Saccharomyces cerevisiae S288C: one gene and its partners. The protein of the gene in region 4 binds, or shares a complex with, the protein of the main gene of each other region. Each region holds a gene or a part of one and is shown on either strand. Other genes may lie near its edges. The genes, in order: RRP46, LRP1, RRP40 and RRP6. A codon is read from its position in the direction of its gene.

Region 1 (7,344 bases), on a different chromosome or scaffold from region 4:
AGTTTACCGCTGATGGTAAGGTTAAACCAGAAGGTGTATTTTGCATTCCAGCACCTCCACCAAACGTCACTGGTGCCTTACATATTGGTCATGCTTTGACTATTGCTATCCAAGATTCTTTGATCAGATATAACAGAATGAAAGGTAAAACTGTCTTATTCTTGCCAGGTTTCGACCATGCTGGTATTGCTACTCAGTCCGTTGTGGAGAAGCAAATCTGGGCTAAGGACAGAAAGACTAGACATGACTATGGAAGAGAAGCTTTTGTTGGTAAGGTCTGGGAATGGAAAGAGGAATACCATAGCAGAATTAAGAACCAAATTCAAAAATTGGGGGCTTCTTATGATTGGAGCCGCGAAGCTTTCACTTTGAGTCCAGAATTGACCAAGTCTGTTGAAGAAGCTTTTGTTAGACTACATGATGAAGGTGTTATTTATCGTGCGTCCAGATTAGTTAATTGGTCTGTTAAATTGAATACCGCTATCTCTAATTTGGAAGTCGAAAATAAGGACGTTAAAAGTAGAACGCTTTTATCAGTCCCAGGCTATGATGAAAAGGTTGAATTTGGTGTTTTAACATCATTTGCTTATCCAGTTATCGGTAGCGATGAAAAACTGATCATTGCTACAACTAGACCTGAAACTATATTTGGTGATACTGCCGTTGCAGTTCATCCTGATGATGACCGTTACAAACACTTGCATGGTAAGTTCATCCAACATCCTTTCTTACCAAGAAAAATTCCAATTATCACCGACAAGGAAGCTGTTGACATGGAATTCGGTACTGGTGCCGTTAAGATCACTCCAGCCCATGACCAAAACGATTACAATACCGGTAAGCGTCACAATTTGGAATTCATCAATATTTTGACTGACGATGGTTTATTAAACGAGGAGTGTGGTCCAGAGTGGCAAGGCATGAAGAGGTTTGATGCCAGAAAGAAGGTCATTGAGCAGCTGAAGGAAAAGAACCTATACGTTGGCCAAGAAGATAATGAAATGACCATTCCAACTTGTTCCAGATCTGGTGACATTATTGAACCTTTATTGAAACCTCAATGGTGGGTTTCTCAAAGTGAAATGGCCAAAGATGCTATTAAGGTTGTTAGGGATGGTCAAATTACCATCACCCCCAAATCTTCTGAGGCTGAATATTTCCATTGGTTGGGTAACATCCAAGATTGGTGTATTTCCAGACAATTATGGTGGGGTCATCGTTGTCCAGTTTACTTTATTAATATCGAAGGCGAAGAACACGATAGAATTGATGGTGACTATTGGGTTGCTGGTAGGAGCATGGAGGAAGCTGAAAAGAAGGCTGCTGCCAAATACCCTAATTCCAAATTTACTCTGGAACAAGATGAAGATGTTTTAGACACCTGGTTCTCGTCCGGTTTGTGGCCTTTCTCCACTTTGGGTTGGCCAGAGAAGACTAAAGACATGGAAACTTTTTACCCCTTTTCTATGTTGGAAACTGGTTGGGATATTCTTTTCTTCTGGGTTACTAGAATGATTCTATTGGGCTTAAAATTGACCGGTTCAGTTCCATTCAAGGAAGTTTTCTGCCACTCTTTAGTCCGTGACGCTCAAGGTCGTAAGATGTCTAAATCTTTAGGTAATGTTATTGACCCACTAGACGTTATTACTGGTATTAAGTTGGATGATTTGCATGCAAAATTATTACAAGGTAACTTAGATCCAAGAGAAGTTGAAAAAGCTAAGATCGGTCAAAAGGAATCCTACCCTAACGGTATTCCTCAATGTGGTACCGATGCTATGAGGTTTGCATTATGTGCTTATACCACTGGTGGTCGTGATATTAACTTAGATATCTTACGTGTCGAAGGTTACAGAAAGTTCTGTAACAAAATCTACCAAGCTACCAAGTTTGCATTGATGAGACTCGGTGACGATTATCAACCACCTGCCACTGAAGGTCTATCAGGTAACGAATCCTTGGTTGAAAAATGGATCTTGCACAAGCTGACTGAAACCTCGAAAATTGTCAATGAAGCTCTAGATAAACGTGACTTCTTGACGTCCACTAGCAGTATTTACGAATTCTGGTATTTGATTTGTGATGTTTACATCGAGAACTCTAAATACTTGATTCAAGAAGGCTCTGCTATTGAAAAGAAGTCCGCAAAGGATACATTGTATATCTTGCTGGACAACGCTTTGAAATTAATCCATCCATTCATGCCATTCATTTCTGAAGAAATGTGGCAAAGACTTCCAAAGCGTTCCACTGAGAAGGCTGCCTCAATTGTAAAAGCTTCTTATCCAGTTTACGTATCTGAGTACGATGATGTCAAATCGGCCAATGCTTACGACTTGGTCTTGAACATTACCAAAGAAGCTCGTTCCTTGTTATCTGAGTACAATATTTTGAAGAATGGTAAGGTTTTCGTTGAATCTAACCACGAGGAATACTTCAAAACTGCTGAAGATCAGAAAGATTCTATTGTCTCGTTGATCAAGGCCATCGACGAAGTCACTGTTGTTCGTGATGCTTCCGAAATTCCAGAAGGTTGCGTATTGCAATCTGTTAACCCAGAAGTCAATGTACATCTTCTCGTCAAGGGACACGTTGATATTGATGCTGAAATTGCGAAAGTTCAAAAGAAACTTGAAAAGGCTAAAAAATCCAAGAACGGTATTGAACAAACCATTAACAGTAAGGATTACGAAACAAAGGCTAATACACAGGCCAAGGAAGCCAATAAAAGCAAGCTGGATAACACTGTTGCCGAAATCGAAGGTTTGGAAGCTACTATTGAAAACTTGAAGCGTTTGAAATTGTAGATTGAAGGTAGATAAAAATTAATGTAATATATATATATATATATGCTATGTATATGTAACAACGAAAATGTTAAGAATTTTAGAACATTGAATAATAACTATTTCCAAATATAAGAGGTAGTCTCCGGCATACGACATAGCATGTTGTGGTATATTATAATCTATAATGGCTATACAACTAGACGAGGTGATATATTGTCCTGTATTATTCTTCTTATATTTGTGACAAGTTCTTGACACTTTTGCTCACCCAGCTCCAGTAAACTGAACAATTGATCTTCATTAAAATCACCATTGCTGTCTAACAATAAAACGTTTTTCACGACTTTACCGCCATTGACGAACTCCAGAGCTAAAGTGTGGACAGAGAGCGAAATCTTCAATTGCTCGGCAGTGGGATCGACAATGATATCACTAGTGTCTTTGATTATTGCAATAGGGATGCTTGCGCACATACTATTTAAGGCAATTCCTGCATCAACTAAAGCCAAAAATGCCGCATTTATACAACAACTTAGCTCTCTCAGGGAGAATTCGGCTTCATCTTCACCAGATTCCAGAATTTGACAAGTTATCTGGCAGAGCTGTCTTGGGTAACAATGACGAGTGATGAGTGGGGTCAGAACTGCCCGTAATTTATCTTCGAGTACCTTCTCTCTTGTTGTGGCCACCCCTTTCGCGGGACGTACAATAATTTCTAATGCTAATTGTGTAGGCAGTTCTTGTCTTGCTTTTGGTTCAATAGGGCCTGTTACAGAACAAATAACCTTGGTGTCTTGTGATACGAATTCAGATGAACCATCTACATGATCTAATATCCCTATTTCTGCTTGGACGCTCATTTTTTTTTTTTTTTCAGCAGAATCTAATCTATTCTTGGTATTGGGCTCCTTGTTATTACCATATATGCAGAGATATTTTATGCATCTTAACTGGTTCATCTAACAAATTTTCCACTCTTTTTTCCACAATCCGATGCGCTTAAAAGGAAAAAAAAAGTAGTAAAAAGAAAAAGAGAGGTACATAATAGTCTTTATGAAGAAAAGGCGCTATTTTGTCACCTTTAACTTGGCATAGTCTGGAGCTTTATATAAACCATTCAAAGTACATAAATGTTGATATGTTCAAAGAGGAGGACTCGTTAAGAAAAGGGCAAAATGTGGCCGCGTGGAAAACTTTGTTGGCTGGCGCCGTATCCGGGCTGCTTGCCCGTAGCATAACTGCTCCCATGGATACCATTAAGATCAGATTGCAATTGACCCCTGCAAATGGGCTGAAGCCCTTCGGAAGTCAGGTCATGGAGGTGGCCAGAAGCATGATAAAGAACGAAGGCATCCGGTCCTTTTGGAAGGGTAACATACCCGGTTCTTTGCTGTACGTTACCTATGGCTCAGCGCAGTTTAGTTCATACTCCCTTTTTAATAGATATTTAACTCCATTTGGACTAGAGGCGCGCTTACATAGTCTTGTTGTCGGAGCCTTTGCTGGCATAACCAGTTCCATCGTTTCCTACCCGTTCGATGTTTTACGGACCCGACTAGTTGCCAACAACCAGATGCACTCAATGAGCATCACGAGAGAAGTGCGTGATATCTGGAAACTAGAAGGTCTCCCCGGATTTTTCAAGGGCTCCATCGCGTCAATGACAACCATAACTCTAACCGCATCTATAATGTTCGGAACATACGAAACAATCAGGATATACTGTGACGAAAACGAAAAAACGACCGCCGCGCATAAAAAATGGGAACTGGCTACTTTAAATCACAGCGCTGGTACCATTGGCGGCGTCATTGCTAAGATCATTACTTTCCCCCTCGAAACGATCCGTAGGCGAATGCAGTTCATGAATTCGAAGCATCTGGAAAAGTTCTCCCGTCATTCGTCTGTATACGGTTCTTATAAAGGGTACGGATTCGCAAGAATCGGTTTACAGATTTTGAAACAAGAAGGTGTGAGTTCGCTTTACAGAGGTATTCTGGTGGCCCTTTCCAAGACAATACCCACCACTTTTGTGAGTTTCTGGGGGTATGAAACTGCCATCCATTATTTGCGGATGTACTAAAGTTTCCAATCTTTTTTGTCACATGTACACACTCATATACATATACGAAATCATCATATCTTATATTCTTCACTGACAAAGATCGGTAGCCGCCCGGTTTTCCATTCCGATTACGGCCTGACTCAGTCGCGCCGTCTTCCTCTAATAACAAAAAATCGAAAAAAAAAGAGGAATCTCGTTGCTAGCGATCTGACGCCAACCCTTTTTCCGGTTTTTCTTAGTTGCCTGCTGCCCCGCACCGGTTTTTCTTCTTTTTTTTATCTTTTTTTCCGCTCAGTCAGCGGGGAAGGGAGAGAAGGAAACAATGAATCGGATCTTCCGATGGAACCAGCGTCAGGGACCACTACATCTGCTTGTTGTTTCAACACAACTTACATCTGCGCAAGCACACGGACTAGGAGTAACAAGAAGTAGTAAAATTGAAGAAAGCAAGGACTGCTGCAATCTCTGCACCCTTGTGGTAGCCACCCTTCTTAGATGTGGCATACTTACACTTTTTTTTTTCTTTTTTTTTTTTTTTTTTCGCCTTTTCTCATTTCTTGGCTCCTTAATAGCCAAGAAATGAGAAACGTGGGAGATGTTCAACCTCGCCTGATCCTACCAAAAAAAAAAATCGCAAAAATAAGCGGGAAAAAATGTCAGATTCTAAGTTTCAAACCTCCGGAGATGATTCATCATCACCATCACCGCCGATTTGTTGGATTGCGTGTTTACGATCCATCATTTTTCTTGTAAGCGTTTAGCTTTCTGTCATCTCTTTATCTTTTTTCCTATTTTTTTTTTTCACTAGTTTTTGCACTGAATAACACCTCCCCTTACTCATAAATGTGCTAGCTGAATCCATATTTCCTAGTCTTGCATTCCCTTTCCCTTCAAACAGCGCTGCCCTTCTTCATCTTCATTGTCGAAAATAACCATTCTTCTCCTATCTTGAAATCTAAAAATAACGCTACTACAGAAAGCTTTTTTCACAGGAACTAGGGCGAAGCGTACAAGAATAAGGAAAGACAGCGTAGTTACAAACTAAACTATCTATACTATAACGACCGAAAATTTCTGTTTTTTAACACCTCTTCTACCAAACACAACGAGAGTGCATTAGAAATAGGACAAAACTGGGCTCAAACTAATGTCTGATTACTTTAGTTCCAGACCTTCGCAAACGCTCACGCCGATGGGCAATAAGCCATCTGGCGGTGGTGGCGGCGATGACGCCTCCTCCATCCACTCGAAGAGCTCGCAGTACTTGATGGACATCTTACCTGATTCGATGACCTTGAACGAAAGTGTTTCCTCCATAGTGGCAAACAATCAGGCAAAGGAGTTTATTTTGCCTGAAACAGATGAGAGATCTCCCTACTTCATAAACGTCCCTATACCAAAGGCTCAGCCAACCTCTACTACGGAAACGAAGAAGCCCCTTGCAGGTGATGAAGCTATCGATGGGCAGTTTGTTAAGGAGTATCCCACCGACATCCTTGTAGACAGGTTTTATAAATGGAAAAAAATTCTGAAAGGGTTAGTGATTTACTTGAGGGAAGTCGCGTATGCGCAAGAACAGTTCGCACGGATCAATTACCAACTGAAAGGATCTGTGAAATTTCCATTTTTGACTGATATTGATGAAACCACAAATACCATTACGGATCCATTCACAACGGCTCCTAGAGGCCCTAAGAAAGCGCAGCCTGCGCAGAAGAAAGTTGGCCTGACTGACAGCGAACAATTTCAGATGCAAATGCAACAGGAACAGCAGGAAAATGCAGTGCAGGCTCCCACAGATGAAAGTAAAATGAGTTTGGCGCCTCATGAATACAAGCCTGTCCAGACCACAGAGTCGGACAATACATCTGCCGCATCCGGTTTTGTTAAGTTCGGTTCAGGCTCGATTCAAGACATCCAGGTCATTTTGAAGAAGTACCATCTTTCGTTGGCTAACCAGCAATTTAAGATCTCTAAAGAGATTACGTCCACCGTCATTCCTAAATTGGAGGAATTGAGAAAAGATTTAAGATATAAAATTACGGAAATTAAGGACCTTCATGGTGATTTCAAAACAAACATCGGAGCACATATTCAGCTAACAAGTCAACTATTGAAAAAATACATCGCAGCTGTAAAATTCATGAACGCGCATGGTATTGGCAACGATAGAGCATCTCCTACTAATAAGAAGCCACATAAATTGGATCCAAAACATGATCCATATCTTTTGAAACTGCAACTAGACTTACAACTCAAACGTCAAGTTGCCGAAGAAACTTACTTGCAAGAAGCGTTCATCAATTTACAGAGTTCAGGTTTGCAATTAGAAAAAATTATATACACCAAAATCCAGCATGCTTTGTTGCGTTATTCTGCTTTAATTGACTCCGAAGCTCGTCTAATGATCAAAAATATGTGCCAAGAACTACAACATGGTATAATATCAAAGCCTCCTGCATTTGAATGGGATAATTTTGTCACACAGCA
Region 2 (7,476 bases), on a different chromosome or scaffold from region 4:
AGCAGCCTTCCTGGCTTGATGATTTGAAGATTATTTTTTTCTTGAAACACGTGAAGCCGAGGAGACCAGAAAAGCATAATGGTCAACCCCAAGATCAAGAATAGTTTTTGAGGACTCAGCAATTTGTTCATAAAAATTTCTGAACTAAAATTATTCTGAACGAAATCCAAAATATGAGTTAAAATGTCTTTATTATCATCGCTCTTACGGCTTTCGGAACTTTTCTGTTCAACCTTACTATGGAAAGGCCTATGTTTATCATGACTCTTCATTACTTTCTTCACCGGTTTTTTGCTTTTTGCCCTGCTAATAATGTCTCTTAACTCGGATAGCATGTAATCGACAGAAACCTTCTGACCCTCAACAGATCCTTTCTCAATTGCACCTTTCAAAAATGATTTACTTGTCCAGTTGATTTTTGTTATAACGGTCATATTCGTGGTGTCATGCTGCCCCCAGAATAGAAAGATTTTACTTTCTACTGCAAAATTGCTACCAGAGGGGACGTCTGGAGTTTTAGTTGTTTGTGTCACCAAAACATAGTTATTGATATCCATGTGTTCAATAGACTCGGTTAGTAAACATTTTGTTTGCTTAGGTCCGATAGAATTGTTCAATTTCTTCGTGTACTCATAGTGTCTTGAACCTCCTTCAACCAACGAAGGCGTGAATTTTGGTATCGTTTCCACATTGACATTATTCTTATCTCTAGTGATAACTTTCTGCATATACTCTGTATTCGATCCAAATAGCAATTGGACCACGGTCCCTAATGGAGCTGGTATATTCTCATTTTCCCTTATAATAGAGTCATCCTTATCCTTTTGAATATCAGGCTCGGTAGGTGCATGTGAGCTAGGTTCCATTTTCGGTAAAGTTGATACTGTAACAGTGTTCTCCTTCGAAGACCTTTTCCTTTTGGTAGCAGATCTTGTTAAAATATTACCAAGCTCCTCCACCAATATCTTTGTTGCATCCGTTACACCATCAAATGTACCCTTTTCAATAGGACTTTTGATCAAGCTTTTACCTGTCCATTCAACAGAGACATACAGTTTTAGTTTTGTTTCATTGTTGTTTGCCCATGATAAAAGATAAACTGTTCTCACATAAAATGAATTTCCAGAAGGAACATCCGGAGTTTTTGTTGTTTGCAAGACTTGAACATACTCCTCTAAGTTAAAGTGTTGAATGGTTTCAGTTATCATGCATTTAGTTTTACCGGGTCCAATGGCACCTGGTGTTGTTTTTACGTAGGAATAATCTCTCTTTTTACCTTCAGAAACCGTGGGTGAATCAACGAGAACAGGGATTGGCGAAATATCACTATTCTTTTGCGCTTTTAAAATGGCCATAATATAACTGACATCTTTCCCGAATAATATATTGACAACCCGCCCTAACGAAGCGTGTATTGTTGATTCGTTAACTAATTTTTCATTGGGCGCTGGTTTGTATACTGTTTCTGTGGGTGAGTGAATTTTTGGACCTAGTGGTGGAATTCCTGTTCCATAAGGGGTGTCTGTTTGTAGAGGCATGGGTAAATCTTCCGGCTTTCCTATGCTGACGCTTGATGTCATGTCGGTAGAATCAGATATGTTATTGCTATTATCGTAAAGATCGTCATCATCATCTCCATAATCATCGTAATCATCATCGTAATCGTCATTTTCATCATCACTGATAGAATTGGAGCTGCTATTAGTGTTATTACTGTTGCTACGAAACCTCTTTCCCAAAATTATTTGATTCCATACTTCAGTAATTAAATCATATGTAGCATCTCTTGAAGTGAAAGAGGCAAACGTGTATTTTGTGTGTAAAGTGTCTATAACGATCCCATTAGGGAATATTCCTGCTGTGGCCCTTTTCTCTATTTGAACGATTGTCTTGAACGGTATAAAAACGGTACTTACCCAACCAAGGATGTTCGAATAAAATCCAATATGTTGATCAGAAATATACATTCTGCCTTGCAAAAGGATATCTCTTGACAAAGCACAACTATGGTCTAAAATCAACCTTTCATTGGGGCTGACACCAGAGTCCTTGAATATTGCATGGAATTCTGCATCTTTCTTTTCGCTCGCGTATTCGACTCCCTTTATTCTAATGCTGGATTGTCTACCATTTTCCTCCGATGGCTCAATGATATTTACGGGGGTAGATGAAAAGCTTTTACTAGAACTTCTCCTCAATCCCGAAGATGGACGACCGTTGGACATACTAGGTCTCGGTATGATGGTCGATGCAATATCAGTGCTGTTTTTTACTTTGTTTAGCGAATATTTCAGTGCCGTCGAAGGTAGTACTTTCATTCCCATGCTAATGCTTCCGGGGGAAAATGACCTCCTGTTAAGAAACTTCTTGGACATTTCCCTAGGTTCGCGGTCTTCATACTCCGGGTCGTTATTCGTTAGGCCATTAGAGGAGTTGAAGGACAATCTTTTTTTACAATCTTGTAAAACGTCGCTACTGGTGTTTTGTTTATCTGCCATTGCGCTAATCATTGATTTGGCTCTTCTTCTAGGCTTGACTCCATCTGTTGTAGAGGAACTGACTACTGACCATTTGGAAGGAACAGTTTTTCTTTCCAAATTACTTTGTTGTACCGGGCCTCTGCTGTCAAGGTGATCCGCCTCTGGCAGCGATTCTGCTGACATTGCCTCTAACCCTTCAAGAGTAGCTTGAGAATCATCGAAGTGCTCTAATTTTAAGTTTCCAACTCCGGGGGTAGGCTTATCATGAGAGTGCCTGATGGGTTCGAAAACCACTTTCCTGGCCATATCATCCGTCATCTTTCTAGTGTCATCTAATGATGTATCATCTCCTGAGATAGCATTAGAGCTTGAATGTGAGTTCGAGTGAATATGGCCTTTCAAATTTCCAAATGCCAATCTAGATAATGATGATGGTTTACTTTTACTTCCTGCTTCCGTTGTATTAAGCTGTTGGTTACTTGGAGTTGATGATTTGGATGCTGCAAGAATATTGTCTAAATTTTTCAAAAATGGGCCATCGCTTTCTTTTGTCGATGAAGTGTTTTTATTGTTAGTGCTATTTTCGGAAAGGGCTCCTGATATATTAGATGAGTTTTTTTTCCTGTCCTTTGGTTCATTCCTGGAAATTGTTCCATTGTCAGCGTCTTGTACGTTTATTTTGGGAATGTGGCTTACGGCATTATGGGCGAAGGAAAGAAACGTTTCAAAGGCGGTATGTTCATCATGGCCGTCTGGAGTTTTTTCCTCAGCTTGATTGCTGGACCCTTCTCGTTTCCCACTTTGCAGTTTTTCCTTTTCTAATGCCTGGACGGATAAACTTGGTACAGAATTTGAATTCGAGTTACCATCCTGAAAGCGACCCTTCAATGAACCTGCCGTCAAATTCGTGTTTGTCTTTTCAAGCCTGTTTGTTTCCATGGGATCTATAACGATTGGAATATTGAATACACCTTGGCTATGCGCTAAGGAAGATGCCGCCGCCTTTTGAGATCCTTTTGCAGGAGATTCCGTGAAAGTTTCGGGCTTAAGTAAAGACGGAATATCCGGATTTCCTCCTACTCTTCTGAATCGCTCAGCACTGGCTGTTGTGCTAACATTCTCTCCTGTAGTATTATTTAAAAAATTACGATCCTTCTTGTGCTTACGTTTGACTCCAATTGTCCTTAAAAAGGCAGTGCCCCAATGGTGCTTCTTTTTTGAATCTCTAGTCATTACTGTATATTTTCAACACTATCCATGGAGAGTAAGAACCACACACAGTAGCAATAATTTAATATCAATGGCAATAGCAACGAAATTACAGTAGATACCGTGAGCCAGCAGAAACAGATTGATATTTCGTATTTCAAGAAGGCAGAATCATTCAACCACCTACCGTCCCCCAGGAGGACAGATCCCAACGAGGGACCTTTGCGCCCAATTCTACTCCTGCAAGGGTTTCACTTAGAAATGCTTTTGCCAAGGTAAAGGACCCCTAAGACTAGAATGAACTACGCCGGTCCGTCCGGCCGTCATACTCCGTGGAAATTTACTTCTAAAAGGAGAAACAGCGATCTTTGCCGCATAAAGCCAGCCACTACTGGCGTGGAAAGATTTTTAGATTAGAAGACAATACAAAGCGGCAACGTCATAACCTTGGTATTTATTGGGCAAGCATTTTCATATCAGCGTACATACACCAGCAATGGGAATGTAAAGAAGAGTCGTTACTAGCATATTTTCTATTCATGCGGGTACCCAACATGTCACGTTTCACGAATTCTCGTGCAGTTTTTCAGCGATGAGCTAAGGCAGATGGTTATGGACTGTGCCTTCTGTAGTCTGTGGAAGAAAAAACTGGTTAACAGCCTACAGTAGAAATCGATTAATATAAACATATATCTAGCAACGTAACGGAGTATTAGATCAGTAATGGAAGATATCGAAAAGATAAAACCATACGTTAGGAGTTTTTCAAAGGCGTTAGACGAGCTGAAACCAGAAATAGAGAAACTAACGTCGAAGTCACTGGATGAACAGCTGTTGCTATTATCTGATGAGAGGGCTAAATTAGAACTAATTAATCGTTACGCGTATGTATTGAGTTCTCTGATGTTTGCTAATATGAAAGTCCTAGGCGTCAAAGATATGTCTCCTATACTCGGCGAACTGAAAAGAGTAAAATCATACATGGATAAGGCTAAACAATACGATAATAGGATAACCAAATCCAACGAAAAATCGCAGGCAGAGCAAGAAAAAGCTAAGAATATCATTTCCAATGTTTTGGACGGTAATAAAAACCAATTCGAGCCCTCTATAAGCAGGAGCAACTTTCAAGGGAAGCATACGAAATTTGAAAACGATGAACTGGCAGAGAGTACAACGACTAAGATTATTGACAGTACCGATCATATAAGGAAAGCAAGTAGTAAGAAAAGTAAAAGATTGGATAAAGTTGGAAAAAAGAAAGGAGGGAAGAAGTAGAGGTCGACGTATACTGGTACATGAGTGAAAAAATGATTAAAGGTGATGTGAGAGCACAAATGCAAAAATGCTTATAGGGTTTATATACTTTTATAATAACAATAAGAACTCGTTGAAGTAACTAATATGTGTATATGCTATTCTTGTAGTTGGCAGTGAACACTTTTGTGTGAATTGACGTTATATAAGACTGTAGAAATATCTAAGAAAAGAGAGTTTTCATAAAACCCTTCAAGCTTAACTACCAAAAAGCATTCATACTTAGAAGTTGAAATGCACGATGATGCCAAATTGATGAAAAAAGCTAAAAATGCATTTCAGAAGGGAAGAAAATAATAAGCAACATAACAGAGGGAATAGGTGCGCTTAGTCTTGTTGCTGTAAAATTAACCAATTATTCTTGTATTGTTCTAACGATCCGACCATTTCATCCTGAATACTTGTCTTCCTGCCAGCTCCTAATTTTTTATCGTGAGTGGAGCCAGCGAAAGTTTGAGCATAAATTTCATAAGGACCGAAAATTTGCCTTTCATCCGGGGAGGTTGACGAGGATTCGTTGTCACCACCTTCCATTTTGCCATGTGCCATCTTGTCACTTTCTCCTTCGTATTCTTCGTCTTCGAAAATTATGGCGTCATTGTTAGAGTCTGCGAATACGTCTTCATTTTGCAACGCAATCGTAGTGCTTGAATGATTACGAGGTAATAAAGGTTTAGGGAAGCCAACGAAGGAGCTTTTAGCTCCTGGTGAAGAGGACAACTTCTCGAGTGCTTTATTCATATGCAGTGGGTTAGATTCATTAGCACTGGAACGCCTGGAATTGTAAGATCCACCAAAATTAACAGAATTATGCGAAACTGACAACGTGGCCTCGTTACTTGTCTTCATATTCATAGGAGGTACCTGTGTTCCCAAGTTGAAACTCTTCCTATGATGAGGTGGAACATAAACCCCATTTTTAAATTTTTGTTCCATACTGAGTCTACGCTCCTGCTCTAGCTCCTTAGAGTCAGATGAGTGTGAATATCGATTGCCAATATTACCTGTTAAAATTGGATCAATTGGTCCAGAAGATAAATTTAAATGTGCTTCAGATGATGCTGGTGATTTTAGTAAATCTGGTAGTTCATTAGATTCATTATTGTTATTGTTGATATGCAATGATGTTGTCAAAGGAGGTGGAATATATTGTCTATGATATTGATTAGTGGTACTATTGGTGTCGATATGGTTGTTGTTGCCATTGTTATTGTGATTAGTGCTTGCGTGAACAAATACTTCATTATGGCTACCTACCGTTGTATGCGGTAAGTGATCATTTATAGATAAGTTGTCCATACCATTGACGAAATCATGATCACCTTCTTCAAGAGTGAATAAAACGTCGTCTGAATCGTGATCGCCCTCAGAATCCATACTATCCTGAGTGTAGTGTTCCTGGTATGAAGGCTTCCCACCTAAAACGGTAGAGATATCAGGAGCAGTTGATTGCGGAACTCTTAAAAACTGATTCGTTGGGCTTACGTGATGGTTCCTGGCATTTGGTGGAATATAAGCGCCTGGTGAATGTTGAACTGTAGTCGTAGAACCACGCCTTGCATAACCATTTATAGAACTATTGTTGTTATGATTATAGCTCATGTTGTACCTTGAAAGTGGTGACTTACCGGTATAACTGGAGGAACTTGGTCTTCTGTATTTGTTAAAGTTTTTGTTCCAACCCTTTATATAGCTATTACCATTGTTAAAATTATTATAATTACTTCCATGATTGTTATTGCTGTTGTTGTTATTATTGTTGTAATTACGATTCTGTCTGTACTGTTTATTGTTGTTGTTGGAAAACCCCTCCATATACCTGTGCTGGACACTTGGAGGAGTGAAAAAATCTCTGGTGTTGAATTCATCCCTTGCTTTGTAATCGTGGAAAAAATTATTCATGTGTGTATTAGGCGTTGGTATGCCAAGAGGCTTCCTTGATTTTTTCAAAATTTTACTTTTCTTTCTATCTTCGATATTGACTGGTTTGGAAAATTGATTATCAGTTCTTCCGTACTTATTGCGCTTCTTAAATTTGAACTTAGGAGCAGATTTAGCCCTTTCATGAGTAGATAGTGTTGTATTATAACCCTGGTTGAAAAATTTCTGTTGTTGTGTAGACGGTTTTTTAAAGAAGCCGCTTGCAACATTTTGATTTTGAGAGACATCTGACCGTTTCCTTTCATTCACATTATTGAAATTGAAATCCTTTTTAAATTCAGGCATATGTTGTTTGTTACTAGATGAAATAGGAGTAGGTAATGATACCGGTGCTGAAGATGGAGGAACAGGCTGAGGTGGCAAACCGTCAATCATAGTTTCTTCATATCCTTCATCCAAGTTATTATAGTATTCATCGTCTAATGTATACTCAGATAAGTTCTGTAGTTCAGTTCTCATCATTTTCAAGTCTCTATTAGCCGGATCGATGGTTAAACTATACCTTAATACTTGAAAGAAATCATAAGCC
Region 3 (3,718 bases), 270 kb from region 4:
ACTATCTTTTTATCCTGTGGCGTTTGTTCAATGATGGAGTTCAATCTTGACCTGATGGCAAATAACCTCAACCAATAACCTCTGTTAATACAGGGAGATCTTTTAATTTTCTTAGGAACAAAGAATTTAAAATATTCCAACAGTTTATTATTCTTATCCATTTGGAAATTATTAGCCGAACTCAGTTTTGGCAAATACAATAACTCTACCGATCTTTTAGAAGCAATTGAGGAGTTATTTGTGCCTTGAATCGCCAAATCAGCGTACTTTTTACGTCTTTCTTGTTTGACATTCTTGTTCGTTTGCTTTATAGTGGTCAGATTCTTCATCGTATTAGATATGTGCACTATAGTTGTCGAAATTTTATGGCCATATGTTAGATGTGATGAGATGAGATGAGATGAAACTTTTTTTCCTTCGCTTTTTCAAAGGACATTAAAAAAGGACGTGAAATATTGATGATATCTATGTGTTTATATATTTTAATTATACATGGTAGTCTACTCCTCCTTGACCGTAAGTATTTCTTTAAACTGTCTTTTTGCTATATCCTTGAACGCTGCCGTGTCGTTTTTTTGACAACACTCCATTATGGTTCTATAACAAGCTAAAGTGTTAGATAATTCCTCGCACTTAACCCAGATCTTCCCATTGAGACCAATGGCGACTTCAAACTTGGTATGTGCAGCCAACACTTTTAATAACGGGAAGTCATTATTGAAAAGCAACTGGCGTGCGAAATTCAAATTCACGTCAATGATCATACCATCTTCCAATATCCCGAAACCAGCATCGCGTCCTGTAGTTGAGTCAAAACATTCTATTTCGGCTTCTAGTTCCTTTTCTGCGGTACAAACTCTCGCATACACTAGATCTCCCACTTGCAAAGTTGGCCTGTTTTTCTTTGAAGCATTGGGAAAAGCCATATACGATAGTGAAACACTGGAGGAGAAATTTTGCAACGAAACCTTATAGCTATCTGAAAATGTCCCTATAATGACACCGATTACAAAATCGTTTACAGATGGAATGTATCTCTTACTAGAATAGTCTATATATGCGGTCTGAACACCACTCTTACCCTTAGCGGAAACATGCAAAACACCTGTATTAACAGGTCGTATTTCTTGAGTATTGGGGTCACAATATATGCCAGGGCCCAGTTTAACAGGTGTAGTAGGGTCTACAGGAAAGCTATCACCAGGGAATATGAACGTAGACATCTTGTATGCTCTTGGTTAGTCGAAATGCTGGAGATGAGCTGCTGAAGCATCCGTTTGTGCTGTTGGTTTAATATGCTTCTCTAAACCAAAAAATTTCAGCCGATCAGGTCCGGGTCACACCACTACCCTTACTAGTAAACAATGATGGCTTTCATTAAGGTAACTTTAAGTGAGGTGGATGGAACTAGTTTCCACGAAACTTCATCGAAGAGGTCTGGGGTTCTATGACGTATAATTAAAACTCTGGGAGGTTTTCGGAGGTTCCCGTAGGTCAATTCTTAAGGCTCTATGACATATTCTGGGAGCGGAGATATTTTCGGAGGTCCCCGTTAATAAGAGAAAAGTAGCCATATAAAAGAGAACAATGAAATATTGCCCCAGAGAGTGGGTTCAAAAGCATGAAAAGGAACAGTATAACGCAGTATAACGCAGTATAACGCAGTATAACGCAGTATGGCAGTTAAAGGATTAGGCAAACCAGATCAAGTTTATGACGGTTCCAAAATCAGGGTCGGTATCATTCATGCCCGTTGGAACCGTGTCATTATTGACGCTCTTGTGAAAGGTGCTATTGAAAGAATGGCTTCCCTTGGTGTCGAGGAAAATAACATAATAATTGAAACTGTTCCTGGATCCTATGAATTACCTTGGGGGACAAAAAGGTTTGTTGACAGACAAGCGAAGTTGGGAAAGCCGCTAGATGTTGTAATTCCTATTGGTGTACTTATCAAAGGTAGTACAATGCACTTTGAATACATTTCAGATTCCACCACTCACGCATTGATGAACTTACAAGAAAAAGTCGACATGCCCGTCATTTTTGGCCTCTTAACTTGCATGACTGAAGAACAAGCCCTGGCCAGAGCTGGCATCGATGAAGCGCACTCCATGCACAACCATGGTGAAGATTGGGGTGCTGCAGCAGTGGAAATGGCTGTTAAGTTCGGTAAAAATGCTTTTTGAATAAGCGCAGAGAAATCTATACTATATATGTATATATACTCACTATAGAAGAAGCCCGCTCTTTGATTGTTTCCTCTTACGGTGCTTCAATGCATCTTTCATTTTGCGCCTCATATCACGGGTCCAATTACCTCTGTTAGCCCAGAACTCCTCATCCCAGTTCGATAGCATTGTTTCTCTTCCAGGAGCCCTTACTTTACTCAACTGTGTTTGTCCTACTAAAAATGGCGATTGCAAATGAGGGAAAAACAAGAAATTTTTGTTATCTTTATCTCTAGATACATGTGGTACGGGAGCCGATGTCAAACCTAGGGTGTCAGATGATTTACTTACTTCTTCCTCCAGTTGGTTCACATCAACATCTTTCGCATGATCAATATCATTATCAGAATCTTCAATCAATTTGAATTGTGATACAGGTTCTGCCTCGTTGGGGTTGAATAGGTTTCTTAACGTCTCAGTGTTGCTTATTGTACCTTGACCAATTTCCTTGGTGAAAGTCGGAATAAATTCATTATCCTCCTGCCCGTCGCCCTCGTCCTGTTCTTTCCTTTCCTCTGGTTTTTCTTGTGGTAGGGTGCTCTGGTCCTTCGTCTTATTAACATTCTCGTATTCGGGAGCGTTTACTTCTTTTTCTTCTTCTTCTTCTTCTTCTTCCTCTCCTTTACGTTGCTCTGTCAGAAGTTCCTCGTCCGAATCATTCAACGTCATTGGCTTATCGAAGTCAAAGTCCTTTAATAGGTCATTAAGAATAACATTATTTTTCTCCTTCTCCTCTTCTGACATATTCTCATCGCTGTCCATCTCTCCACTGCAAACGTTTTCATCTTTTGACACTGTTAACTGTTTCAGCCCATTTTTGAATCGAACAGTTTTAACAGCACGACTGTAATCCAATCTATCGACAATGTGGTTGTATCCGTTTTTCCAGAAATTATTTGTAAACTTGTACACAAGGTCATTCAATTCTTTGTTCCTTTCATAACCCCATAATTTAGTCTTATAGCATTTGTAAACTTTCAATGAACCATTGACATTGATCCTGAATGTAATGTTCCTCAATTGACTCCTTTTTCTCGGCGCCTCCCTCATTCTGCCAGCAATAACTTCCTTATGATCTTTCCAACTTTTCGCTACATTTTCCATTTTCTTATAATGTTGCCAATTCTTTTTTTTCATTTTAGCATTTAGTATAATATCTTCTTTAAGGTCCTTTGCATGTTGTACCGCCCAGGTGCTTTCCCAATTCGGCTTTGCTTCATCAACCTTCAAAATGTTCCCTTTAAACTTAACATTATTAAAGCTCTTTCTTAGCTTGTTAAAATCTGCCTCATCATTAAACCTTATATCGATAAATGCAAAGTGGTTGTGTTTTTCAAACTGAAAATCTTGGCAATCACCAAATTTTCCAAATCGATCTAGTAGTTCTGAATAACAATCATCTGCATTATGGAAAATATTTCCGACAAAAATTCTTTTTTGAATTACACTATCCATCGTCGTATATTACCTAGTTCTCACTTCAGGTACAA
Region 4 (9,171 bases):
TTAAAGATATAAAGTGGTTGAACAGATTGGAAACCTGAACTTACAATATAGCAACTTGATAAGTTACGTGTTATAAGGACTCAGTCAAAAAAAACTCTTATCTAATAATATATATATGAGTGCCTGTTATCAGTAGCCGCCCTTCCGAGATTCGAGATTCGCCATTGCTCGGAAGACGCGAACGGTGGCTACTCCAGGAGAGAAAATAAGCGGAAAAGCTAACAATACTCACTGCCAAATGTAGTAGTTTTGCCTTACCATTATCTGTACCTTATTTAGATCAAATTATAGTGCATTTTTCAAATATTTTTAAGAGTTGAAATAATCTTTACTTGTAGAGCACATCTTTTATATCAGTTGCGTCTGACTGACATTGTACAGTTATATAAGTTAAAATGTAACTACAAGTCCTTCATGGATTTGCTACCGGAAGTGAATATCTTGTAATAAGACCATAGCCAAAATATGCTAAAGCAAATGAACCCAACAGCACAGTTCAACAACACCCACAAGTCTGGATATTTCGATGGAGGTGCTACAAATTGATCTAAGAAATGATAAAAGCCCATAGCAATATACGTTCCTATGATAAAACTTTTCCAAACCACATTATATGGCAGTAAGCTTCTTCTTCTATAGTCGCTATTGATGCTGCTGATAGAAGGGCCAGGAGTTAAAGATTTTGGCAAGAACCTTGGTGTAATAAAACTGAAATTTCCAATCAGCCAATTGCTTAGTAAGAAAGATACGGCATACTGTAAATGAAGACCGTCCTTTTTCAACAAAGGCCATAGCGTAAACAAAGCCACATTGTTTATCCAACTTACAAGAGATAGAACATTCCAATCAGTAGAGGAGTAGAGTAGTGTAATAGGCAAAAGTGGGATGAGGATAGTTTTCTCATGTACTTGAAAGCTAAAAAGAAAAAAGGACATCGAACATGCGATTAACACGTATGGGAGAAGATGCTTTTTGGGATGAAGTAATGTCATTATCATGGCTGGTAAGAAACCAATCACGGTGGCAATCAATGAATATAGCTGGAGTTGTTGTATAGTGAATCTTTCCTTGTATTTTACAAACACGTTCGTAACGCACCAGAAGTTAGCAACCTTGTCTTCGAAGATGCCCCTGGCAAAAGGGAATATCCTGTGAATACATTGGTGAATATTCTTTAATCCTCCTCCCAAGAAATATAATGGCGCAAATATTATAGCAAAAGTTGCGAGTGTTGCAAACGCAATAACCGTCAATCTAGCTATGTTAAATTTGGGGAACAGCAATGATCGACTTAATAGATAAGCAAAAAAAATCGGTGCATAATACAATGCCATTTGTTTAAAACAAATGGATAGGACAAAACAAACGGCCGCCATAGCATAATACTCATCTAATAAGTTATTTATGGCATAAGCAGTAAGGCCAAGCATGACTGAATTATATTGAAAGTGCCCATGGTCAATGAGCATTAATGAAGGTTGGAACAAAATCGCTGATGCCGCAATAGATTGTCCTATGGGCGACTGGTTTCGATATCTACCAAGCCACTTAGTAAAGTATATTACTGCAGGAAAGTAAAACAATATGTCGCTAATGATGACAGTAGAACGCATATATGTTTTCAGGCCATTATCGGGGGATTCAAAGCCACGTGACTTTTCTAGTGCAAACCAAGATGGATTGAAAAAAGATCCAATTAGGCCCAGAAGGTACGAATGAAATGCTGTTAATGGTGGATAGTCCAATCCCCAGTATTGCAAATCATACCAGTACCACTTAGAAAGCGGTAAATGTTGCGTAATTTCCATCCAATGTCTCTGAGCCTCAAAATCGCCGTACAGCGGTGGACTGCCTTTCCCAGAATATGGACCAAGTCCAATTGTGCACCTCAGTATTACAGCACATACAAAGATAATATATTCTGGCAGCCATTGGTTCCCCACTGGCCTAAACGGATACAAAAAATCATACATTGGAGAAGCATAAAATGATTCTTCTGCTGGTTTGTTCACCAGTAACCTTTTGCCAATGGCCATTTTCTATGCGAAGCCTGATGTGAAGAAAAGAATTCCTGACACCGTCCATTCGGAGTGCCATTGCTTTAACATGAGCAAATCCCTTTTCTAACTTGGAAGTATTGTTCTCGCTGAGTATTTAACACGCACAATATTCGAGCGAAGTATAATCCTGCAAAAATTCAACTATAGATTTCCGGATAACCTCCGACGTTGAAATTATATAAAACTTGTACTTTTCATAATAAAGGAGATGAAGGGAAACACAGAAACAAAAAAAGAGAAAATGGTGTGCATGGGGGAGCCATAACTCCATGACACAGATATTCGATTAGATGAATTTAGAGGTCTTAAATGAAAATTACCATAATTTATAAATAAAAAAATACGCTTGTTTTACATAATCACCTTTTAAATGACAGATTCTTACCTTTGGCGGCAGGCCTCCTCTTTTTAGCTGCCCTTGGTCCATTACTATCGCTAGATGATGGGTCGAATCTCCTTTTCTTTTGTTGTCTATTATTTTGGCCAGGCTTATTAGATAAGATATTCGGAATTTTTGAATAATCCACAGCATCTTTTTCCGTTACACCTTTTTCCTTTGCTGGTTGTTTCTTTTGAATGTTTTTCTTCTTTAAAACAACAAGATCATCAAGATTATCAATCTCAGGCGAGTGATTAGGTGCGCTCGCAGGGTCTACTGTCTTAATCTCCTCTAGCTTGACAGGAACAACGAGAGGTTTCTCTATTTCGAATATGATATCCTCCAAGTTTGCTAAGGCAGACTTGAAATTTTGTGCTCGGATCCTGATATCTTCCGTCTTCACTTTATTTGGCAAGCCGTCTTTGCTATATGCAATATCATGCTCCTCACGTGGTAAAATCTTACCCAACAGAATAGAAGAATTAGTGACAGGCTTGGCTCGGCTCTTGGAAATATTGCTGTTGCACAACACCGAAAACCTTTCCATAACATCACGGATTTGAGGAACACTTATAGTCTCCAACAATATTCCGTCTGCTTTGGTCTCGGAAGATGGAATGGGAGTAGCTTCCTCATTGGTGTTCTTGATGTTTCGTAATGCATCTCTTATCAAATTAGCTAATAGTTTTGCATTCTGGCGGACATGTTCAGTTACGCCATTGGTCAAAGAAACAACACCTATGACATCAGTAGGTGTATATGCGACAAGTGCAGCCAATAACTGGTTTGGCATAACAAATCGTGGCGATTCATCGTCTCTTCTTGCAATAAGATCTCTCCATTGGTATAGCTCTCTTACTAATACTTCCCTCTCAGGTGGTATGTTGTACTGATACATCAATATTTTCCAAGGACTCTCTTTTTCGATTGGAGAATAAACTTCTGAAGAAGGTGTCAGTGGTCTGTACTTTGAATATTCAAACCTTCTTTTTGCGACATTTCTTGATTCATAAAGAACACCTGCTAACTTATTAGACTCGATAAGTTTGTTTCTCAACTGGTCATATATATTTAGTAAAAAGTGAGTATCTGCTCTAGCATATGCCGTCATGGGTTTTGAAAGCGGTCTTATACGCCAGTCAGCCAACTGATATTTCTTTGAAGTTTTAAAATTGGCAAAATTCTCCAAAAGATAGGCCAAACTATGTCTAGGAAGACCGATTGCTTTAGACGCATGGTAAGTATCGAAGAGACCAACGACATACAAACCTAAATCTCGCTGAAGCCAAATAATATCCATGAATGCACCGTGAAAAACTTTCACAATTGAAGGGTTCGTAAACACTTCGTTCAGAATATGTAAATTTTCGCGAAGTTTTAGAGTATCAACTAAATAATCCCTTTCCCTTGTACTAATTTGCATGAGGCAAACAATACCATAGTATGACCTATAATCGTGATGCTCAAGATCAACGGCAATCTCTTTCGTATTTTTCAAGTCCTCCAACATTGATTCGAGTTCTGTACTTGTATCTACCCAAATTGGTACCGAATCATCCCAGGATTTTGAGGGAATCTCCTCTCTAATTTGGAGAATTTCTGGACTATACTCTTGATGATCAATCTCATATTCATAAGGATGGGGGTAGTGACTGGGGTTATTTTCATCATCATCAACCAACCTCAAACTCTCAGAGAGTGGCTTCAAAGCATTTGGTTTTTCCTTCAATAAAGGTATGAACGGATGACTTTCGCTGTTATCAATTGGACTTTTAAATTTCAACTGAGGTTTTTCGACTCTTTTGGTGGGAGAAAAATTCTTTCCTGAAAATTCGCCTAAATACTGAAGATCGGAACCTCTTGACTTTGAGTTTATTGCACAATTCAGCTTATCCAGCGAATGGTCTGACATTTCTAACAAATTATCCATGATGTTTCCAAAGTTGTTCCACAAGTCAGAAATGTCCTCTTCTTTAAGTTCAAATGATTCATGATGCTCATCAATAGAGAGGATTATTTCATTCGCCATATCCGCAAGTTTGTCTGCTTTTGATTTCAGATCTTTACTAAATCCCCTGTCTAAATTCTTGTAAAAGTCTACATCTTGACTGGCTAACGATGATGCTGCTCTCACCACATTTATCACCCTAGATAAAAGTACATCCGGATTTTCAGAAGTCATAACGCACTTATTGGGTGCTTATAAGCTGTTTGTTGTTCCTATTTCGTCTATCTTCAGATGAACATTAATATTCATTACTGAAAAATTTTCCGATGCCCTCATATTTTTGGGTAAAATATTATTAATAATATCACGTGAACTTATTTTGCATTTAAAAAAAAGTAAAAACTATTTGCTAAAATATATTTTTTTAATTTTTAAAAATAATGTTTTAATTATTTAATGTATATGACTTCCGAAAAATATATATTTGATAACAAAAATTATTATATGCGATATTGAAATTTCATTGTTCAGTATTTTTCCACTAAAACATGTGAAAGTAATTTTCATTATTGAACATGAAATGGTTCTGTCAAGGAAGTTTTGAAACTAGTATCTGAAAAGAACAGTGATGATATGAATCTACATGTATTTATCAAGTTAATTGAAATGGAGTTCTCAAGCTCATCTCGAAGTGTTTTCTGTCGCTTATGCTCTTATGATGCAAAAAGGCTGAAATAGAACATATCCTTCTTTAGCAAAAGAGGGAAGTTATTCTCTTATATACTACCTGAAATCTTGAACTTTTTAGCCAAATGATGGCCAATTGCTTATTATACACACACAGATATATATATATATATATATATATATGTACAAATGGAAAGTTTTAATTTTGCTCAATCATGATTGCTTTCATAATACCCCACGAAAAATCATTAATCTGGCTTTGATCGCTTGTTATAGATATGTGCGTCCTTTGCCTCAGAATATCGCTTTTGTGAAGAGTGAGAATTGGGTGATGACGACCCCTTTAGTTGAGTAGTTTGGGAGCCACTTTCACTCACTATATCAATATTTGGCGGGAGAACATAATCAACCTTTCTACTCTTATCAGGTGAAGCGTTAAAGGAACCCACCAGCTGAACTATTCTTCGATAGTATTTATCTAGAACATTATATCCACTTTTTGGACGATTAACGTAAGAATAAGAATCCAAATCGAGAGACCCTAATGCGTTTTTATCTATGACAAACTTTTTCTGTTTTTGCTCTATACTACATAACGTAATGTTATGATCCCGCGGAATGATTCTGTAGTTTACTCTCTTTAAAAAATCGTTCTCCAGTATATTCAATTCGTGACATCGTACTCCTCCAACTTTTGCATAATGGGCGTTTGTTGAGAACGAATCACATAAGCCTTTTGTTGCGACTGTGGTGGCTGTTAATAAAAACCTATGGGCAGTCAACGAATTAAGCGTAAAATCAGGATACACAGTTTGCAATAAATCGATATAATAGAGTGATGTCATAAGCACACAATGTTCTAAAGAGGAAAACTTTGTCAGTCGTATGAAATAGTTGAAGATTGATATGTTTGGAGGAATCTTAGAATGGTATCGTGTTAAAGTAATTTGGTCATCAGATTTCTTTGTTGCTGAATTTTCATTGATTGCTATCAGCGATACTAACATTCGTGATATGAGCACCACTAGGTCAGTTCTAGAGCATTTATTAAAATCAGCGGGCAGAATTACTTTTGGTATCCCTTGATCCTCATGTATATTTTCGGAACGTTCTCCTGATGTGCTTTCCATGATTTCTATGAGTCTCCAAAGGATATCCTCGTCTTATGATAGCTTGCAGACTTAAATTTGATAAACACTTATAAAAAGAAAGGTTATCTGCCTCTCGAAGTATATAACTGATCACTGGAACGCTATTGGAAACAATACGGATGATAAAATTGGAATATAAATAATCTTAAGAAGAAAAAAAAAACAGGTAGGAGCTATAATCGGCTAAAGAGAAAAGAAGAAAAGTTGCAGTGTATACGGATGAGCACTTTCAAAGTAATATGGCTATTTATGATGGCTTGGGGCATTAGATTAAAGGAAAGCCAATATACGCTGAATAACTTTCTGAAGTTTGAATCCTTTATTCATCAAATGAAGAAGAGATCCTAGGATGAGTATGGAGACTGATTGTTTGTTAAAATCTTATAACCCGTATGTGTTTCCAAGGTGGTTTACAGAAGCCTCAGGCTCTCACCTACGGGTTAAAATCTGACTATGGTACAAGCACGTTCGCCTCATTCATATTTTCCATAGAAAGCGGACTCAAATTTTGAAACCGCATTTTAGAAAGAAAAACTCGATAGCATGTTAAATATTTTAAAGAATACCATAATTCGTTAAAAATACAAAAGTGTACTGATATCGTACTTCCTCTAGGGTAGCACTACCTTGTTTAGGCCAGAAATTAAGTAACAAACTTTTCTTGTTTGCTTCGAGTATACTAAAAAACAGACACTCGGGGTTAATAGGCGGTCTTCCGTTGTTGAGCTCTTTTTTTTTTAGAAATCCAACATCTCTTCGAATAGTAGATTAGAAATAGTATTTATGTCAGCGTTCCTTGAGCCAAATGTACTAAATTTCCCGTCGTTTTAATTATGCTGCATGTTGGAGAAGAATCATTCCAAATGTCAACTTTATTAGAAAGGACTAAGAGTGTGCAAGAGCTGAAGAAGAGAGCTGCAGGGAAAACATCCGCAAATCCCGCAGAGGTCGCTAAAGCTAAAAAAGTACTAAGAAGGCTATATAGTTGGGATGAAATTCCGGAATGGCAAAGAGACAATGATTTTATTTTACATGGATACGTGAAAGAAACTAGTAGCTTCATTGAAACTTTTAAAAGTTTGTTTTATTTGCATAATGAAAGTGTCAATATTTATTCACATTTAATTCCTGCTCTCGGGTTCTTCACTGTACTGTTGCTAGATAAATCTACTATCAAAGTGTTTGCAACAACTACATGGCTAGATCATATGGTAATCGACCTCTTTTATTCGGGGGCGTTTGCATGTTTAATATTGAGTAGCTCCTTTCATTGTCTAAAGAGTCACTCCTTAAGAATTGCTACCTTAGGAAATAAGTTGGACTACCTTGGTATTTGTATATTGATTGTTACGTCAATGGTCAGTATTTTGTACTACGGCTATTTTGAGAAATTTTCCCTATTTTGCCTATTTGCGCTTATTACCGTTAGCTTTGGGATCGCGTGTAGTATTGTGTCACTAAAAGATAAGTTTCGGAAAAGAGAGTGGAGACCTTACAGAGCTGGGCTATTTGTTTGTTTTGGTTTATCCTCAATTATTCCAATATTCAGCGGCCTTTACTGCTATAGTTTTTCAGAAATTTGGACCCAAATTCAGCTCTTTTGGGTATTACTTGGGGGTGTCCTATATATAATTGGCGCTGTTCTTTATGGAATGCGGTTTCCTGAAAAGATTTGCCCCGGTAAATTTGATATTTGGGGTCATTCTCACCAACTTTTCCATTTTCTAGTTGTTATTGCGGCATTGTGCCACTTGAGAGGTTTATTAAATAGTTATGAGTTAGTCCATATAAAGATGGAGAACGGGATTGTCTCCTAGATATTTGGAAAAAACGTAGGATTTATATAGAAAGTAGTTTTAAAGTTAAAATAATAAAATGGTTCTTATATGTGAGAAGAGAATAAAGAAAAAGGCCCTTACAATAATATGTTCAAATATAGAAAAGAAATTCCCAGATAGAAGGGAAGCAGGATTTGTGCACTTTCTCATATGAAATATACACGACTTTAGCGTCTCAGAGGAACATTTTTCTTACTAAGAGCTCTCAATTTAAAATACGGCTTATTTCCACTATTTATTGGCTGTCTCATGTATATTTTTATTATCCTGTTAAACCTACCTCTCTTACTACGCGCTTATGAAAAATAGCGGATCTGAGATACGATAATTATCGTCCCTACATTGTGGTGATGGTGTATAACATGAATTTTAAAAACTGAGTTGATCGTTAAACCATGCCAGTAAAGTTAAGGTGGCCTTGGTTAGGAATTGCTATACCAACGTTTCTGATTTCATTTATAGGCTATGGTGCACACTACTTTATTTTATCCAATTTCTTGTCAGTTCCGAAACAAATAACATTTGAGTTCTGTTTGTCAATGATATGGCTCTCCTATTACTTGGCCATCTGCACAAATCCAGGAAGGCCTTTGCCCAACTACAAACCACCCCCTGATATCTGGCGGAATTTCTGTAAGAAGTGCCAAAGTTATAAGCCAGAACGTTCACATCATTGTAAAACCTGCAATCAATGCGTCCTAATGATGGATCATCATTGTCCGTGGACGATGAATTGCGTCGGCTTTGCAAACTATCCGCATTTCCTTAGATTCTTATTTTGGATCATAGTGACGACTAGTGTTTTATTTTGCATACAAGCTAAGCGGATATATTTTATTTGGCAACAAAGGCACTTGCCTGGCTACTTCTTCAAAAAATCAGAACTGATTTTCTTAACAATATCGAGTCCTTTAAATTCTTTTGTCCTACTAACGATAACAATTCTTTTCCTACGATGTTTATTCAATCAAATCTTGAATGGAAGATCTCAAATTGAGTCGTGGGATATGGATCGGCTAGAATCTTTGTTCAACTCCGGAAGATTAACTCAGAAATTAATTGATAATACTTGGAGAATATATCCAGAGTCGAGGTCGTTTCAAAATAA

Evidence for each region.
Region 1: RRP6 (region 4) and RRP46 share a complex: the UniProt entries of both Saccharomyces cerevisiae proteins name them as parts of the RNA exosome complex.
Region 2: the proteins of RRP6 (region 4) and LRP1 are in contact, whole or in part, in a crystal structure (PDB 4WFC), measured with the Saccharomyces cerevisiae proteins. Residues at the interface, in NP_014643.1 of Saccharomyces cerevisiae: Asp7 (codon at 4,603), Val8 (codon at 4,600), Leu9 (codon at 4,597), Leu10 (codon at 4,594), Arg12 (codon at 4,588), Val13 (codon at 4,585), Ile14 (codon at 4,582), Asn15 (codon at 4,579), Val16 (codon at 4,576), Val17 (codon at 4,573), Ala19 (codon at 4,567), Ala20 (codon at 4,564), Ser21 (codon at 4,561), Ser22 (codon at 4,558), Leu23 (codon at 4,555), Ala24 (codon at 4,552), Gln26 (codon at 4,546), Tyr31 (codon at 4,531), Lys32 (codon at 4,528), Phe38 (codon at 4,510), Asp41 (codon at 4,501), Leu42 (codon at 4,498), Lys43 (codon at 4,495), Lys45 (codon at 4,489), Ala46 (codon at 4,486), Lys48 (codon at 4,480), Leu49 (codon at 4,477), Ala50 (codon at 4,474), Met52 (codon at 4,468), Ala53 (codon at 4,465); in NP_011949.1 of Saccharomyces cerevisiae: Asp3 (codon at 4,419), Ile4 (codon at 4,422), Lys6 (codon at 4,428), Ile7 (codon at 4,431), Tyr10 (codon at 4,440), Val11 (codon at 4,443), Ser13 (codon at 4,449), Phe14 (codon at 4,452), Ser15 (codon at 4,455), Ala17 (codon at 4,461), Leu18 (codon at 4,464), Glu20 (codon at 4,470), Leu21 (codon at 4,473), Lys22 (codon at 4,476), Glu24 (codon at 4,482), Ile25 (codon at 4,485), Glu26 (codon at 4,488), Leu28 (codon at 4,494), Thr29 (codon at 4,497), Lys31 (codon at 4,503), Ser32 (codon at 4,506), Leu33 (codon at 4,509), Asp34 (codon at 4,512), Leu37 (codon at 4,521), Glu43 (codon at 4,539), Arg44 (codon at 4,542), Lys46 (codon at 4,548), Leu47 (codon at 4,551), Ile50 (codon at 4,560), Asn51 (codon at 4,563).
Region 3: RRP6 (region 4) and RRP40 share a complex: the UniProt entries of both Saccharomyces cerevisiae proteins name them as parts of the RNA exosome complex.

Annotation. Positions count from the first base shown.
Region 1 is NC_001139.9:672,694-680,037, forward strand, and holds RRP46 (exosome non-catalytic core subunit RRP46), read right to left. Parts: upstream 3,650-7,344; coding exon 2,978-3,649; downstream 1-2,977. Other genes in the region: VAS1 (valine--tRNA ligase), read left to right, coding at 1-2,807; thiamine transporter TPC1, read left to right, coding at 3,928-4,872; ASK10 (Ask10p), read left to right, coding at 6,002-7,344. UniProt on the Saccharomyces cerevisiae protein: Non-catalytic component of the RNA exosome complex which has 3'->5' exoribonuclease activity and participates in a multitude of cellular RNA processing and degradation events.
Region 2 is NC_001140.6:263,126-270,601, forward strand, and holds LRP1 (Lrp1p), read left to right. Parts: upstream 1-4,412; coding exon 4,413-4,967; downstream 4,968-7,476. Other genes in the region: LAM4 (Lam4p), read right to left, coding at 1-3,713; putative serine/threonine protein kinase KSP1, read right to left, coding at 5,334-7,476. UniProt on the Saccharomyces cerevisiae protein: Required for exosome-dependent processing of pre-rRNA and small nucleolar RNA (snRNA) precursors. Involved in processing of 35S pre-rRNA at the A0, A1 and A2 sites. Required for activity of RRP6 in 7S pre-rRNA processing.
Region 3 is NC_001147.6:53,063-56,780, reverse strand, and holds RRP40 (exosome non-catalytic core subunit RRP40), read right to left. Parts: upstream 1,224-3,718; coding exon 501-1,223; downstream 1-500. Other genes in the region: tRNA methyltransferase PPM2, read right to left, coding at 1-329; lumazine synthase RIB4, read left to right, coding at 1,677-2,186; NOP8 (Nop8p), read right to left, coding at 2,229-3,683. UniProt on the Saccharomyces cerevisiae protein: Non-catalytic component of the RNA exosome complex which has 3'->5' exoribonuclease activity and participates in a multitude of cellular RNA processing and degradation events.
Region 4 is NC_001147.6:322,282-331,452, reverse strand, and holds RRP6 (exosome nuclease subunit RRP6), read right to left. Parts: upstream 4,622-9,171; coding exon 2,420-4,621; downstream 1-2,419. Other genes in the region: ALG6 (dolichyl-P-Glc:Man(9)GlcNAc(2)-PP-dolichol alpha-1,3-glucosyltransferase), read right to left, coding at 402-2,036; PHO80 (Pho80p), read right to left, coding at 5,323-6,204; IZH2 (PAQR-type receptor), read left to right, coding at 7,089-8,042; palmitoyltransferase PFA4, read left to right, coding at 8,459-9,171. UniProt on the Saccharomyces cerevisiae protein: Nuclear-specific catalytic component of the RNA exosome complex which has 3'->5' exoribonuclease activity and participates in a multitude of cellular RNA processing and degradation events.